Drosophila melanogaster: one gene and its partners. The protein of the gene in region 3 interacts with the protein of the main gene of each other region in a pairwise test. Each region holds a gene or a part of one and is shown on either strand. Other genes may lie near its edges. The genes, in order: CG14183, gt, REPTOR-BP and narya.

The links.
Region 1: the proteins of REPTOR-BP (region 3) and CG14183 interact in a two-hybrid assay, tested with the Drosophila melanogaster proteins (one large-scale study listed by BioGRID).
Region 2: the proteins of REPTOR-BP (region 3) and gt interact in a two-hybrid assay, tested with the Drosophila melanogaster proteins (2 studies listed by BioGRID, with this or other methods).
Region 4: the proteins of REPTOR-BP (region 3) and narya interact in a two-hybrid assay, tested with the Drosophila melanogaster proteins (one large-scale study listed by BioGRID).

What each region holds. Positions count from the first base shown.
Region 1 is NT_037436.4:20,024,159-20,029,436, forward strand, and holds CG14183 (uncharacterized protein), read right to left. Parts: upstream 3,678-5,278; 5' UTR 3,604-3,677; coding exon 2,868-3,603; intron 2,814-2,867; coding exon 2,489-2,813; intron 2,432-2,488; coding exon 2,142-2,431; intron 2,080-2,141; coding exon 1,923-2,079; intron 1,875-1,922; coding exon 1,611-1,874; intron 1,540-1,610; coding exon 1,382-1,539; intron 1,298-1,381; coding exon 714-1,297; intron 653-713; coding exon 548-652; 3' UTR 529-547; downstream 1-528. Other genes in the region: kug (kugelei), read left to right, coding at 1-129, 191-327; Lamtor1 (late endosomal/lysosomal adaptor, MAPK and MTOR activator 1), read right to left, coding at 3,809-3,901, 3,957-4,027, 4,087-4,220, 4,488-4,651, 4,714-4,794.
Region 2 is NC_004354.4:2,426,553-2,430,893, forward strand, and holds gt (giant), read right to left. Parts: upstream 2,416-4,341; 5' UTR 2,301-2,415; coding exon 2,249-2,300; intron 2,174-2,248; coding exon 879-2,173; 3' UTR 561-878; downstream 1-560. UniProt on the Drosophila melanogaster protein: Represses the expression of both the krueppel and knirps segmentation gap genes. Binds, in vitro, to the krueppel regulatory elements CD1 and CD2. It is required in the early embryo for the development of portions of the head and abdomen.
Region 3 is NT_033779.5:10,262,533-10,265,616, reverse strand, and holds REPTOR-BP (REPTOR-binding partner), read right to left. Parts: upstream 1,493-3,084; 5' UTR 1,410-1,492; coding exon 1,353-1,409; intron 1,069-1,352; coding exon 984-1,068; intron 854-983; coding exon 732-853; coding exon of another isoform or gene 728-731; intron 671-727; coding exon 578-670; 3' UTR 506-577; downstream 1-505. Other genes in the region: Mob3 (MOB kinase activator 3), read right to left, coding at 56-97; Rsf1 (repressor splicing factor 1), read left to right, coding at 2,199-2,801. UniProt on the Drosophila melanogaster protein: Transcriptional regulator that acts in the TORC1 signaling pathway to regulate energy homeostasis and promote survival during nutrient deprivation.
Region 4 is NC_004354.4:19,473,239-19,476,567, forward strand, and holds narya (narya), read left to right. Parts: upstream 1-1,824; 5' UTR 1,825-1,928; coding exon 1,929-2,564; 3' UTR 2,565-2,817; downstream 2,818-3,329. Other genes in the region: CG32533 (uncharacterized protein), read right to left, coding at 944-1,527, 2,872-3,104, 3,173-3,329. UniProt on the Drosophila melanogaster protein: Required for the formation of DNA double-strand breaks (DSBs) together with nenya and vilya during the meiotic recombination process. Plays a role in DSBs processing into crossovers.

The DNA of each region.
Region 1 (5,278 bases), on a different chromosome or scaffold from region 3:
AAGTATATTTAAGACATCCTGATTCGTATTTACCGACGATGCATTTTCCAAGTGAGACCGATGGGGAAAGCTCTATGACCGAGGGGCCGATTTCTAGGATGGAAATAAAAACCAGGAGGACGATAAGTGGTAAGCAAGGGAAATGCCTTTACATATCTTACAAATATCACGATTCTCTCTAATTATGCAGAAAATTCAGAGGAGGCATACCTATTTCCATGCACTGTCGGAGAAATTGGATCCAACAGCAACATTTCGGTTCGACTGTGTGAAATTGAAGATTCTGAGTTGGAGGAGTTTTTACCACAACAACAAACAAACAATTAAATGACATGCTTAATATATAAGAACTACATTTTACACAAATTATTTCATTTCGTTAGATACTATTTTCCATAGGAAAACTTTGGTTATATATTTTCAATAAAAAAGACACAAAGAACATCTGCACTTCCATAGTATCATTAGTTTAAGGCCAAGGTAAGTTTACACTTACAAATAGTTATATATGAAAATGCATATTTAAATAAGTTTTAAACTGATTTATTTATTTCTTTTTGCTTGCCTTCGCCAACTTTTGAGCCATATACGATTTTCTCAGCTTTTCCAGCTTGTTTGAGCTGCCGAACCATTTATTGAACTTATCCATTATCTAAAAAGAATTTCAGTTAAATGACTTAGTTGCTAAACATGTATTAAGTAAGCAAGTATACCTTCTCATCTGGAGGGAAAATGGGAGGCTCATTCTTGCTCAGGAAATATTCAAGGAACTCGTTCGGATCCAATGCCTCATTCTTGAGTCGCATCTTACGGTCGATGTTCAAGGTCTCCTTAACGTTATCATCAATGTCGCCGGAGTTGTACGCCTGAAGGACGCGTGCCAGTGCCGAGTAGGCGTACTCCTTCATGTCATCTGGCGCGTTCTCGGTCATCAGTTCCAGCCACAGCAGGAAGCTAGTGCCGTAATCGCACTTCGGAATAAGCAGTACTTTTTGGAACGCTCGCTTGATGCCTCCATTGGCCGCCCAGGGCATGTTACTCGTGCCGACTAGTACAATTTTGTCATTTTTCTTCAGTGGTTTCAAGATCTTGCTAGCTAACGAGGTGCCCAGCAGTCTGGGGTTAATCTCCACTGCCTCAGGCGGAACCTTTTTCCAAAATAGTCTATGCGCTTCCTCGATGTACATTATGGTGGGCTGAAAAGCCTTAGCCACTTTTAGAATAACATGCAGGAAGTACTTCAAGTCTTTGGCATATTTGTAGGTATTCTCGGGACTTAGGTTCATAAAAACTGCATCTGGAGTAGACAGAAGGTTTAAGTGCTCCGACAAAAAAAAAAAAAAAAAAAAAAAGAACAATTCCCAACAAAATGTTACTATACCTAGTTCGGATGCAATGATTTCACACAGCAATCGTTTTCCGCTATTCAGAGGTCCAATTAGCAAAAGAGACTTCGGCTTCGGAACATCGAATTCGCCCATTCCCAGCATCGACTCTTGGATAACCATTTTAATGTCACCCTTTGCTGGGCCCAATGTGCTGAATTTTAAATCGATATTAATTTTTTTTGTTAGGCTTAGTAGCTCTTTCAACAAATAACTACAACATACGTTAAGCCATCTTCATCTCGAGTGTCGTCTGCCACAAAGTTGAAGTCCGTTATGAACTCATCAAAGTCCCTATGACCAATTTCCTCTATTATGCCGGCATCTTTGAGCTCATTGTACAGGGATTCCAGTGTCCGATCGCCTGTCATGTCCTTGGGCTTCTTCTTCCTCTTCTCCTTCTTCTTCTTAGGATACTTCACCTTGAGAGCCTTGTACTTCTCATCGTTATCCTTCGCCAAGGCCTCCCGCAGCAACTCATACTCAACCCTGGAAGTTGAAAAGTTATATTTTCATTGTAAATATAAATAAATTTACCTCATGTATTCGTCGACCAAGCCCCTCACTTCCTGATGAATCTTTGCCAGTTGCTCCTCAGTAACCCATTCCTTGATGGGATCATGATTCTTGTTTAGATATTCATCGACATTTCTCCAGTCCTTGGAGTACTTCTTCATTGTTTCTTCAATGTTTTCTAAAATTGAAGAGAGTATTTGGAGACAATGGAAACATTCTCCATTAAGTCAAACTATCTACCAATTGCCTTGCTTGCAGTTAGCTCGTAGCCAATATCGATGACTCCAGCGTCTCTCAATTTCTTCCGACGTTTAGCTTCCTTCATTTTCAGTTGTTTTAGCTTTTCCTTCTTTTTCCTTTTCTCTTTCTTCTCCTTATCGCGAAGTTTCTTCAACTCGGCTTTTGACAGCGGCTTTTTACCAAGGCTTTCCTGAAATTCCATTGGCGTCATTGTTTCATCAATGACAACCAGTACCGTTCCTTGTTTTACAGGATCGGGATAAGGATGAAAATTCCCAGTCGCGTCGTAGCTGTTAAGTACGAGTTATACGTTTTTGCCTTTTTTGCCTCAATGAAAAACAACTCACAATTCCTTGAACCATGCCCGGATATGATCGGATATATCTTCCATCATCCATGGACTTCGGAATTGCAGCAATCGGGTGCGCTCATCGTTGATCAAGTTGATGAAGTCCTCATCCAGCTTCTTCTTGAGCATCTCGTTCTTGTACATTTCCATAATAGAATTTGCCGTCTGATTGGGTCGCTTCAGTTTCCTAATTTTCTTCATACCATACAATTCCTCCTTGAACCGCTTCCTAATCTTAACTATTTTCCGCGTCTTGTAACCACGCCAACAACTTTGGATTTTACAAGCAGCATTGTTCTGTATTGCACTTAAGGCTTCCTCATCTAGAAAATAATTAAAAACCAAATTAATTGTTTTGAAACGATCTAGCTACTTGCCATCTATTGCGGTATCCGCTACATCATCCTTTTTGATAAGATTTTCGCAGGACTCGTCCGCCTTCAAGAAGTCAGCTGAAAAAATGGTTCTCTTCACGGGAATACTCATTGCCTGATCAGGCTTAAAGGTGAATTTGTAATTTATTTTCTTTCTTTGATGGACCTTGAGGAACTTTTTCTTGTCGTACTTTATGTTGGACTTGTAAACCCGAGCTCGGCGCGCCCTCTCGTGAGCTTGGATAAGCTTGACCGCCTCACTGATCGGAACCCAATCCTGGGCTGCCTTTTCTTCCTTTTCCTCATCGTTCATGTACAATCGGTTGTCGGCAATGATATTTTGAATGTCCAACGGGCGACGGTAAAGGAATTGTGGTGACCTCCATACGACCAGGTCCCGTGGTGTTAGCTTCCTAGCGATCAGCGCCTTATCTATGTAAATGTATTCGCTCATTTCCAAGTCTTTTAACTCCTCCTTGAGTTGCATTAGCTGCTGAGTGGCATTCTCCACCAAAACACGTACCAATGCCCGCTTTTGCACTTGGAAAGTATTGTGGTATATGAAACTTAACTTATTGACCAGCTCCACATACAAAACATAGAGCTCTGCGTAAATTTTATACGATACTGCCTTTTCCTCTGGCGGCTCAATCTTCTTCAGGCGGTTCTGCTTCTTGATTAATTTACCAATTTCCTTGCGCGTGTAGACCCAAAATTTATGGTTAAGATCGAACGACATTTTGGATTTTAGCTATATGTGTGTGTGTGTGCCTTCCTAAATAAAAAAAATGTCTTGCCGTGTTAAGAATATAGTATGTATTTATTTGCTTCTGTACACTTAATGAAAATAAGTCGATTACCTGGTTATTCAAGGGCTACTTAGTACCAATATAGATTTTGATTTTATATAAATTTATCACTTTATTTCACTTAAGATACGATAATCAGGGAATCCGGAAGGGAACAACCACGGCCTCTTTGTGGTCGATCTGTATGTGCGAGACACTGATGTGTGCCTTCTCGGTGAAGAGCTTCATCTAAAAACATACGAAATTGGTAAGCAACAAGCAATTTGCGAAAAGTAAAACTCACTTGAGCAGTGTCATCTGGATAGGTTGGCTTAGACAGATAGAACTGATGGCTTGGTACATCTTTAAGGAGACCTGTTGTTCATTTAATTGTTAGTCATCATTCACCCTTTCAATCTAGCTATATTGCAAACCTTTTGGTGCGATACTGGCGTGCTGGCCGTTGTTCCACTGTTGATGCAACCGCTGCGAGTACAATCTTATTCTATCGGCGTACTCCTGGTGCTCCAGGCTGTGACAGTCCATGGCTCCAACGTTTATCATGTTTCTGGAGAGCAAAGTAGCGTATAAGCGAATACAAATATAATATAGATAAGCGATAATTAGGGCTGTGTTGCTTTGTTGCATTGAACATCCCGATAAATGCTTGGGTATAACCATACTACATACTAGATCCTGCCATCGCTATAACTACGTAGGTATACTACTATAGTATAGTATAGTATAGCAATCGCTGTAAAATGCTAGCATTCCAATCAATGGAATTGTATATGATAGTGCCAAATGTGGACCCTATACACTATCAACTACGTACATCGCAGTATTCTGCACCAGTCTGGAGAGGGCGTTCTGATCGTCCTTCTTGGGAAGGGAGTGGGCGTAGTCGGTGCTGAGGCCATCGGAGTTGCTCCGTCGAAGGGCAGGACTATGGTTCACCGGGTCCACGAGAAGGTGTGTCCGCTCGTTCGGCTCGTTGGGCTGCAGATGGAACGCATTGTGTATTCGGTCTGTTGACGGGGAAAGGGGAATGTGCGGATTACCTGCGCACCTGGATCTTCGGTGCATTGCCAGCAGTTGCAGATCGAGGCTAGGTAGCTCCAAACAGAGTGCACATACTCCATTCTAAATGCAATTGTTCAATTGTTCTTTATTTTTTATGCAAGTTTTTCTAGGGATGGAATTGTACATATTCGATAAGATCAGTGCTACCAGACAGTTTAAAACAGCTGTATACATACTTGTTATCGATTAGGCGCTAAATATTACAATTTTAATCGGACATTAAATTCATGGGTTTTCATAAGGGAATACTAGTTTATTACTTACTGTTCCTAGCGTTATCCTTGTTTTATTTATTATGAAATACTTTTTATTGGGAATTAAGTTGATTTAAATTTATACTTTATTAATTTGTTATATTTTTATTGGAAATCGGCAATAATTGTGAAGATATTAAAAAATTTAACTGCTTTTGGTAGACATCAATTATTAATTTGAAATATTTATATTGCTGTTTTTTCTATCAACCTATATGACATTTTCCCCAACAGCCAGCCCACGAGAACGAGCACATTCTTGATTGATGAAGATGCCAAAATTTCAGCC
Region 2 (4,341 bases), on a different chromosome or scaffold from region 3:
TTTTGTAAGCAAAATTTAGAGATTTTCGGTTTAAATTACCAGGCGAACAGGAATTCCAGGAGGCGACCAACGATTAGTTGGTTTTCAGTAGACACCCGCTACTGAGTATGTTGGCCTGGTACCAAAAATCCAAAATTTGCCACTAAAATGCTAATTTTGTAAGCAAAATTAACAGATTTTCGGCTTAAATTACCAGGCGAACAGGAATTCCAGGAGGCGACCAACGATTAGTTGGTTTTCAGTAGACACCCGCTACTGAGTATGTTGGCCTGGTACCAAAAATCCAAAATTTGCCACTAAAATGCTAATTTTGTAAGCAAAATTAACAGATTTTCGGCTTAAATTACCAGGCGAACAGGAATTCCAGGAGGCGACCAACGATTAGTTGGTTTTCAGTAGACACCCGCTACTGAGTATGTTGGCCTGGTACCAAAAATCCCAAAATTTGCCACAAAAATGCTAATTTTGTAAGCAAAATTAACAGATTTTCGGTTTAAATTACCAGGCGAACAGGAGTTCCAGGAGGCGACCAACGAGAACAGAAATTCCAGGAGATAATTATTTTCGATAATTTATTGAAATTCATTCCTTAGGGCTATGAAAAAAATTCACTTATAAGTTAAACATTAATAGCTAGCTGGGACTTCTACAACTATAGATGATTCCATTGATAGTTAACTGGTGGGATTGCGAGATGCACTACAGCTAATACATTTTCCAAATATAACGTATACTCCAAGGACTTAAAGTACTTAAATGCGAGCGTGTAAAAAAAAAAGAAAGTTGAGCCCCCTAAACTATTCACAGATAAGCTGACCCAAAAACTGGACATACGATTCGGATCCTCGCGTTCAACGCATCAAGAGAGGAGTGGACCTTTAGGCGGTGGTTACTTTGGCGGAGGTGAAGGCGGCCAGCTGGACCTTGAGGGCGTCGATCTGGCACAAGAGCTCGATGTTCTGGCGTTCCAGATAGGCGGCCCTGATGGCGATCTCATCCTCCTTGATGCGGCGGCGATCGCGGGACTTCTTGGCGGCAGCATTGTTCTTGCGACGCCTCTCGTAGTATGCGGCATCCTTAACCTGGCTGCCCGAGCTGATGCCCGAGTTTGCTGCAGTAGCGTTAGCCAAGTTGCTGGAGCTGCTGGTGGCGGACTTGCTCTCGAAGTTGCCCGCCTGGGAGTCACAGTCGCTTGACTCCTCCGCAGCAGCGCGATCCTCGCTTTCGCTGTTGTTGTTTGAGGAGCTGCCTTCGTTGACGGATCCACTTCTTGAGTTGGTCCTTCGCATTTTTGGGTTGGTTACGGTGCGCGATCCTCCGTTGGAGCTGCGGATTTGCTCAAGCACTCGCTTCCGGTATTCCGTGTAGCGCTCCACTCGCGGATTGTCCAAAAGGACATCAGTGGCTGCGAAATTGGCAGCTATGACCAAGGGATCCCGGGGAAAGGCCTTGAAGGGACGGGTGTTCTTTCCCGCCTCGCCGCTGCTGGAGGTGGTTGGCGTGGTGGCCTCAACAGCCGGTGACAGGGGATTCTCCAGAACGTCTATCTGCATGGTGCTGGCGTTGCTGGCGGGTCTTGGTGAGTTGGTCGAAGAAGCGGCAGCAGCAGCGGCGGCCGCAGCAGAGGCGGCAGCAAAGGTTTGCAGAAGGTTAGCGGTTGGTGTAACCTTGGGCGGAGCAGCAGTGGGCGTGGCTTGCTCCTGCTTGATGTTGCTGTAGTAAAAAGCGGGATACAGGGAGGCTAATTGTTGCTGCTGCTGCTGTTGCTGTTGTTGCTGCTGATGTTGCTGCTGTTGCATTTGGGCGGCATACAGAAGATTGCTGGTGGGCGAAGCCGAGGGGGAACCACTGCCGTAGCTATAGCTTGTTTGATACGGCGAGGGAGTCTTCCTGGGTGTCTCTACGCTGTCACATCGACGGGAAAGATCCAGGACCTCTGCAGAGGAGGTATGCTGCTGCTGCAGCTGCTGATGTTGCTGCTGCTGCTGTTGCTGTTGTTGCTGCTGACTGAGGGCAGCTCCCAGCAACTGCTGCTGGTAGGCGTAGGCCGTGTACAGATCCATTTTGGGTAGGCCCAAGGATCCCTGAACCGGCAATTGGCTGTGCGGCAAGTGGTGCAGTGGTTGCTGCTGGTGGTGCTGGTACTGGTGGTGGTGCATCAGGGGCTTGCGATCTGCAAAGATTGAGAGAGAGAGGGGATTTGTTAGTTTACGGATCGAGGAGAAACCAAGGGGCGTGGCCAACTTACCAGTCTTGAGATCGAAGAACTGCCCGGCCATGAGTTTCTCGTGCATTAGCATGGTGTTCGGTGTATGGTCTCTGGGTTTAATCCAACTGATTGACGCTATATAGACTGGTGATCTAGCTCTGATGTTGCTATATCTTCACGCTGACGATGTCGAACGCAAACTGATTTCCTCTCGTCGGAACCCCCTGCATTTATACCGAAAATCCGGAGGCTGCGCCGACGCCTCATTCACATCGAAATGGCGGACACGAGCGGCCAGCCGAAGCGGTACGAAGCAGGTAGGCGGTACAAAGGCCAAAGGGCAAAGGGGTGATTCTGGCTTTGCTTCTGACTCTGTCCCGCTCTGGCCTGTTGCCCTCTCTGTCTCACCGCTTTCGAAAGGGTTTTACAAGGGTGCGGCTGCCCTTTCCCTCATTTGGTTTTCGCAGTTTTCGCAAAAATCATAGTTCTTTGTGCTATTGTTAGTTCGCCATTTAACGTAATTTTAAAAAGAAAGTACAAAGAGTTTTCGAACTTTACGTTTCATCAGTTTCCGCGAAAGGATATGGTTTTTTCTTGGTTTTAATATTCAATGGGAAAAAATAGGAAAATTCGTACCACCTCTGCAGTGCTTTACATTTCGTTTTCATGGAATTGGTTAAAAATATTCATAATCAATATAGAGTTATAAACTTCGGCTCTATTTTCATAGGCGTTCATTGCGATGTTATAAGTCCAAGTTTGAGGAAACCCCAGATTTTTGTATATACCAGCATTGTGCATTTGATTTTTTATTACAATTGTACCTAACTTACTTGCTTTGACATCCAACTGATAAAACCCTTACCCAAAAACCAATCTTAAAAATCTTAAGTTATTAAACCTTTAGATTTAAGTAACTGCTGTATATATTGCTTTCAAATATAAAGAATAAACCGCAATTAAACATCGTAGGCTATTCTCTTCAGCACTGAAATAAACCATACTTCTGAATCTTCTAGAACATTTCGCATATCAAAGACCCCCCGACCGTAGACTATTATAATTACACTCAAATCATACTTTTCTGGCCAGAAAGAGAGGCATCTGGCAGAAGAAAAGAGATGGAATCTAGTTTGTTGATAATAGATGCACAACATCCAAGGGTTGTGATGGCTAAATCCGTTTGTTTTGCGCTTTTGTTTCGAAATCCTTTTGCTGACCAGCCCATCTAGAATCTGTGTATCCATGCGATGGCGAATTCGTTGGATTGTGCGTGACAAATTATGGAAATTAGGACGAGTTCTGGCGTTCTTGCAATTTTCAGCCCTTTTCGGCTGGCGTAATTCGCATCCTTTTCTTATTTCGGCAATGAAAACTCGGCTTCCCGGAATTTTGGCAAGGACACTCGCCAGTCTGCCCATTTGATTCATGACGCCGCCAGCCCGAGGATCGAGAATCGAGAGTCCAGGATCATTGCGACAAGTGGCCGTCCGTGTTGACTGCTCGTGTTTGCCCTCCTCCTTAAACATCCTTGATTCTACGTCCTTTATCCCTTTGGCTTCCGCTGCGGCGTGGGATGTGGGATCCTCGACAAGTTGTTTCACTTTGTTAACTGTTTGTCCTAACGGTCGCCTCGACAGCCAACGGAAGTGGGTAGCGGTACAAAGTTGGCTATCATCCATGGGAAATGTTATGCTAGATACTTACTGCAGCTAATTCGAGGACATAACGTAGTTTAGATTTGTTACGCTGAAATGTTATCAAATCCTATCAACAATACCTACATTATATACTATCTTTCATTCATTCTCTTTTTACAACTGCCCATTCAGGGGGATTGGGTGAATTGCAAATAAAAAGAGGGATCGATCGATGGTAATCAGTAAAAAACCGCGAACTTATCCGCTAATCCGTGCGCTAATCCAACCGTAAAAATGGTGGATTAAACTAAAACTCGGACCGTCACGTCGCCGTCATTGAGTCGATCCCTTACCTGCGGTTACCGGGCCCGAACCCGAGCCCTTCCAGATCCTGGACATACGTATAGCCCAGCCCAATCGATCCCGAGCAGATGCCATAAAAAGTCGCGGCCGAAGTCGAAGCCAAAGAGTTGCCAAGTTCGGTGTAAAAAC
Region 3 (3,084 bases):
AAATTAGTTTAAAAATACATCAACTGCATATGATTTTGTTATTGACCAAACACACCTTGCCCTTTTGGAAGAATTCTAAAAATCCATTTAAAGCCATAATATCTTGTTGGAGATTCTGTTGGTTGTGAGAATATTTTGGCACATATGTAAGCGCTGCTTACAGCACAAAAGTTTGTCAATTGAATAACTATTAATGGCTGTTTATAAATAATGTTTACATTTATTCAGTTCCTTAGACTATTCTGTATTTTTATGCCGATGGAGAGATGGGAGAAACCATTGATAGGCTTTTCACGACTAAGTTATCGAACCCTTAGAATAATCGTTCCATATATCACTGTTCCAGTGTACCAATTGGTTTAACACCCTTAAATAACAAATATTTAATTAGTTCTTATTTATCATAAAAATACTTTAATTTGGCTTTAATCACTATACAAATGAAACAATAAAAAGCTGTAAAATGCAATATAGAAAATAACAAAAATTTCTGCAGTATTTTCGTAATAATATAAATAGTAACCGTCGTACATTTATTATAAAAGTAATATTCTTAAGCTAAAAATAAGAATGTAGGTTATTCTTGTTTGAGGATTCCGAGTTCCTGAAGTAACTGGTCATTGTTGGTTGGAGTGTTGCTTTCGCTCAACTGGTTATTCCATTGAATTAACTGCAATAAAGATGAGAATAAATAAATTGGTTGGACGTGGCATGATAAGTTATATACCGACGCGCTCCAGTTCCGTACGCAAAGCAACTACAGCCTTCTCCCGATCCGCCACCAGTTCCTCCAGGTACTGATACCGCAGCTTCTTGCGCGCCCGGCATTCCCTGGCACTTTGTCTGCTGCGTTCTGCAAGGGAAAATACACGTTATATAAAATTCCATAGGAAATAACATGTATTAGTGTTTGGAAACTTTGTTACTATTAAAAATAATACCGTTGTTTAAGTATTATAAGTGGAAATTAATGTTGTTCTTACCTAGTTTGGCTTTCATGTCCAATTTTTCAGTAGACGTCTTTCTTCCTGGTTTTCGTCCCCTTTTTCCACATTCCTTGCGCGTCTGCTTATAAATATAATATAAAATGTAAATATTTGACGATATCCCAAAAACAATTTGCTTTCAATATTCTTATTCGCAAAAATTTAGTTCCGATAAGTCAAACTTAAAATCTTTTTTGAAAATAGGCGCTTTTGCATGATAAAAATCACATATGTATATACACGCATACACAGAAGATAGCTTATATATGTGTATATACATACACGCAAGGCCTTACTGCGCATTAGAACAATTCAGATCATGTTCAAACAAAAAGACCACATCTTTTATATTTAATAATATATTACCACTTGTGTTTCCTCCGTTATTGACATTTTGTTGCTCTGTATCTCCATATCAGCCATTATAACTCTCAAATAATACAACAACTTTGCAACTCTTTGTTATTATGCGTCTTTCGTAAATACTCAAGGTAACAATAAACAAAACCACTACACACAAAGGTGCCAATCGAAATATATCTTAACAGAAACGATGGAATGGAACACATTAAGGGAACTATTTGTATTTTATATTTAAGAACAAAAATATAAATAAAGTTTAAATCGTAACAAATTTTCTTTTAATGACTTAAAATGATAATAGTCATTATATTTAAATAGTTAAATTATGATAATAGTTAAATTATAAATTAATTAAATAATAATTAATAAATGTTCAATATAATTATTCATTATTTGGGGTTTGAAGAAAATATAAAAGTACACGGCTATATATTAACAAACATTTTATATATTGTTTTACTTTATTTACTTTACTAAAGATCATACAAATATTTATAAAATTATATAAATTAAATTGACGTATTATTCAGATTACCATGATACATTTCCCAGCACAAAGTATAAAAATAATTAAAAATACAAGTCACTAGAGCAGCGGGAAGTCCCTTTTTACGGGGCCGTTAAACTATAAATACATCCCAACACACGTCCATTCTCAGTGTTCCAAATGCGAGGATATTTTTGAAAATTAGCATTTTTGCAACGAGTTTAACCACCCTGGTCGAAAAGTTGATATAGATACAAACGCTAAATTGTCCGGTGGTGATAACTTATTGATTATTTATTTTTCAAGGCAGCTATCCGATTTGCAGGATAACTCCGAAAACGAATCAGAAACAGTGAATCCAGATGTCCAGCATGGGTGATCAGCGCGGGACACGGGTGTATGTCGGCAATCTGACCGACAAAGTGAAAAAGGATGATCTGGAGGGGGAGTTCACAAAGTATGGCAAGCTGAATTCGGTGTGGATAGCCTTCAATCCGCCGGGATTTGCGTTCGTCGAGTTCGAGCACCGCGACGACGCCGAAAAGGCGTGCGACATACTGAACGGATCCGAGCTGCTCGGCTCCCAGCTGCGCGTGGAGATCTCAAAAGGGCGGCCACGCCAGGGTAGGCGTGGCGGACCCATGGACAGGGGCGGACGACGCGGCGACTTTGGCCGGCACAGCATCACAAGCGGTGGTAGCGGCGGAGGCGGTTTCCGGCAGCGCGGATCCAGCGGATCCTCAAGCCGGCACACGGAGCGGGGCTATAGCTCCGGCCGATCAGGTGCAAGCAGCTATAATGGCAGAGAGGGCGGCGGCAGCGGCTTCAATCGCCGCGAGGTTTACGGCGGTGGACGCGACAGCAGCCGCTACAGCAGCGGAAGTAGCGCCAGCTACGGACGCACTGGTGGTCAGTCGGCCGGACGCTTCAGGTCCCGCTCGCCGGTGGGAAACCATCGATTCTAATGACAACACCACTCATAGTTGCTTAAGGATTGCCTATGAGTAAAGATTAATAAATAATAACTTAAGCGCGACCGTAAAACGCAGACTCAAACATTTAAAATCGTAGCATTCGATCGTTTTCGATCGTCCAACAGATTCCCTCATTCCCCCACATCAACAACAACAACAGAATGATAAAAAAAAAAGAAAAAACAAAAAACTGATAGTCGTCGTCTCTTCATTATTTATTTAACGAATACCCATTAACATGACAATTGCAAGCACGTAAAATTTAAGTTATAAC
Region 4 (3,329 bases), on a different chromosome or scaffold from region 3:
TGTAACATGTTAGCAATGGGTATCCCGCAGTCGGGACACACGCCGTCCATCCTACTTTTTTTCTTGCGAAAAAGCGGACAAGCAAGCTGAGCACAAAACTCGACAGTAGCAACAATGTAGTTGCAAAGAAGTAGACAGTCGGGCGAGGCAGAAGGAGCTGCTGCCCTGCCGAGGAAGCGCACAACTATATCTGAAAATTGGACAGCTTGACAGGCAAAGACCTTTTCATAAACAAGCGTAGCTTCTGTGTCCCGAGATTAGGACAACACAGCACGGTCGAAAGGAGCGCCGCATTAAGGTGCAGATCCAATACAAATCTCTAAATCCCTTTTTGTCATCATCCTAAGCTAAAAACTATTTTGTAAGCTACAAAATTGTGCGAGATAAAAACTAAATCCTTGTGAGGAATTCACCCAGCTCTGTTGTCAGTGGCAAATTGAAAGCTGGACACTTGACAATTTTACATATTGCAATATTCAGTTAAAATAAGCAGCGCAGCTTGAGCAACGACGACCTATTGTGTAGCTGGCTAACTAACAGGCATACGTAGTTATCAAATCCCATATTTCGTATCCGATAATTTATTCTATAAATTCATTCTTTCAACAATTTGATTAAAATGGAAATTTCCCGGCGGCTTCAATGCCAATTGAACGGGGCATAATTGATTTTAATTAAAAATTCCATTGTTTTGGCCCAAAAACGAAATATTTTTGGTGGGAAATCCGAATACAGATTTCCGCCCAACATTTTTCAGTGCGTTTTTTTTTTTTCATTGTAACATGGCTGAAGGGTCCCTCAATTAAAGAAAGCAAATGTTTTTCATAACATTTTTGTTGATTTCCAAAGGGGACAGGCCAAAAGTTAATTTGTTTAGCAATTTTTCAATATGTTAAATTAAATATGTTTTTTTTTTTATAATTAAATACGTTTATTCAGACGATTACTTGTTATTTCGACACTGCTTTTTGTGGCGCAGAATGTCGATCGTTGTCAGTCGCAACTCCCTCTTGCAGGAGTTGCAGTAATAGCCGCCGGAGGAGTGCGAACTGGAGCTACTGGCTACCTCCGTTGAGGACTCTGTGCTCGTTGTTTTCGCCGTGCGGCTTTCCTGCGCCTTGCGACGCTTGCATTTGGATCGGTGCACCAGCTGCTCCAGCACATCGAACTCCTCCAGCTCGAAATCGCAGCGCGTACACTGCCATGGCTCTGCCCGTAGAGTCGCATCCATGGCCGTCGTCCACTGCTGTTCGGCCAAGCAGCTGTACACCACGTGCTCCGATACGTTGAGGCCGCCCTTTTCCTCGTTCGGTGTCATGGGAAAGTCGACGGCAAAGGGGTTCTCCTTGAGCTCCGCGAGTCGCGCGGAAGGTGCCTGATGAGTGTAGAGCCTCTTGATGTCGGCGGGAAGCAGTCGGCGTATCGCATACGCCACATCCAGCGCCATATAGTCCACAAGATCTTGCCACAGCGCGCTGCTCCTATCGTCACTTGAATGGGAAGGTGATTCCTGTTTGCTTTTGAGGTCTGCAAATTGGACAGCATTAAGTACATACGTATTAGATAACTAAGCTCCATTTACTAAGAATGCCAAGAACAACAAGCATTTTCTATAACTGAACAGTTCAAATATCGACAATTGTATATGTAAATACCTAAAAAAAAAAACGTTTTTAAGCATATGTCGTTCCCATCATTTGATTGTTACAATAATAACTGCTTTAAAATATTATGGTGAAAAATCTTTGAACCTGAATACACCACTTGCAGGAAAGGTGTGGTGAACAGATTGCAAGGCGAGAGTGTTCTCACCCGGCAGAGTGGCCAGACCGCTGAGGTAAGATCCGTTAGCCCCATTCGGATATCTAAATCACAATTGTTTAAGAAGAAAACTTGCAAGGCGAGGAAAAAAACATATATTGGTCACTATGTTTCGAGTGCATTGCAACAAGTGTTTCCGTCATCGCAAAACTGATCCAGCCGTGCCCTTCCACTTGACCCAGTGCCGGCACGTGATCTGCGGCCCCTGTTTGGGCCAATCCTCGCTAGAAAAGAACTGCCCGCTATGCGGCCAGGTGCTCAAAGCGATCCAGATCAACCGGGATATGCCAACTAGCGTGGCCAACTACTTCGCGGATCCCCTGCGATTCCAGCAGATCTACCGCAAGATCTCCAAGTTCCAAGCGGACCAGCGAGCATCGGACAACCTGGGTTTCTACCGTCAGTTGCAGCAGCTGGAGCAAAACAAGCGCCAGCTGGAGGGCTTTTGCAAGATGGAGGCGCAGCTGAACCAGAAGGTCGTGGAGGAAAAGAAGCGAATCGCTGAATTGCGCACCTACATCGCTTACCACGAGAATGCGCAGAGGATGACGAGGCGCCGGCACAGTGCAGGTGAGAGATTCCATACGCCGGAGTTCAAGGAGGCCTGGAACACCTCTATCAGCACTTCGGACAAATCGCCGTCGGATATGCCTTCTGATAGCTCCCGCCGGTCCGCGGACTTGGATACCCAGTCAACGCGGAGAAGATCTTTTGGCAGCGACACTAAAGGCTTTCGTCTTTAGTCACTCCAATTACTTGTATAATTTTTTATAGGAATTCTAAGACTATAACCACTTCTAACGATTCAATTAGGTTTTGACCTTCCAGAAGATTCCCAATATAAAGAACCAGATAGATTATTAAGTTGCGCTTAAGGTACTAATTATCATCCGTATTCTATTACTATTACTATTCAAATCGAGACGTTCCACTACTCATGTGCGGGATATGATAACCATAAACGGAAATATAACAATCTACTTTAGCTTACAAAACTCAAAAATCCCCCTAGTAGTTTTAATAATTCCAACCAATCTGGGGAGCACTCACCATCCAGCTTGTCGTAAAGCAGTCTGCTCCAACGTCGGCGCAACTCGATGGCCCGTCTTAAAAGCTCCATACCGCTGCCGGGCATGGGCAGATCCAGTCCCAGCCAGCCGTCGCAGGCGATCTGTGTGATGCCCGCGTTCGTGTCAATGGCGAAGCTGAAGAGCAATAGCGTCTGGGCAGCCGGCAGGCGGATGCAGTTAATCAGATAGGGCTTGGCGGTCTCCAGCAGCGACCTGTTGTAGTACGTAGTTTTTTGGGGATTAGTATGGCGCTGCAATTTCGTACAGACGCACGCACTCACTGGTAACAGAGCAACTGGTGGCGCTTGCTGAGCGGAAGCTTGGGCGTGTAGAAGTCTGGCTTGGGCAGCAGATCGCTTTCGGTCAGCTTAAGCAGCTCGAAGTGCTTGGCGAATTGCGAGTTTGGGTGCTGCAGCACGAAGGGCTTGAGCCGCGTGT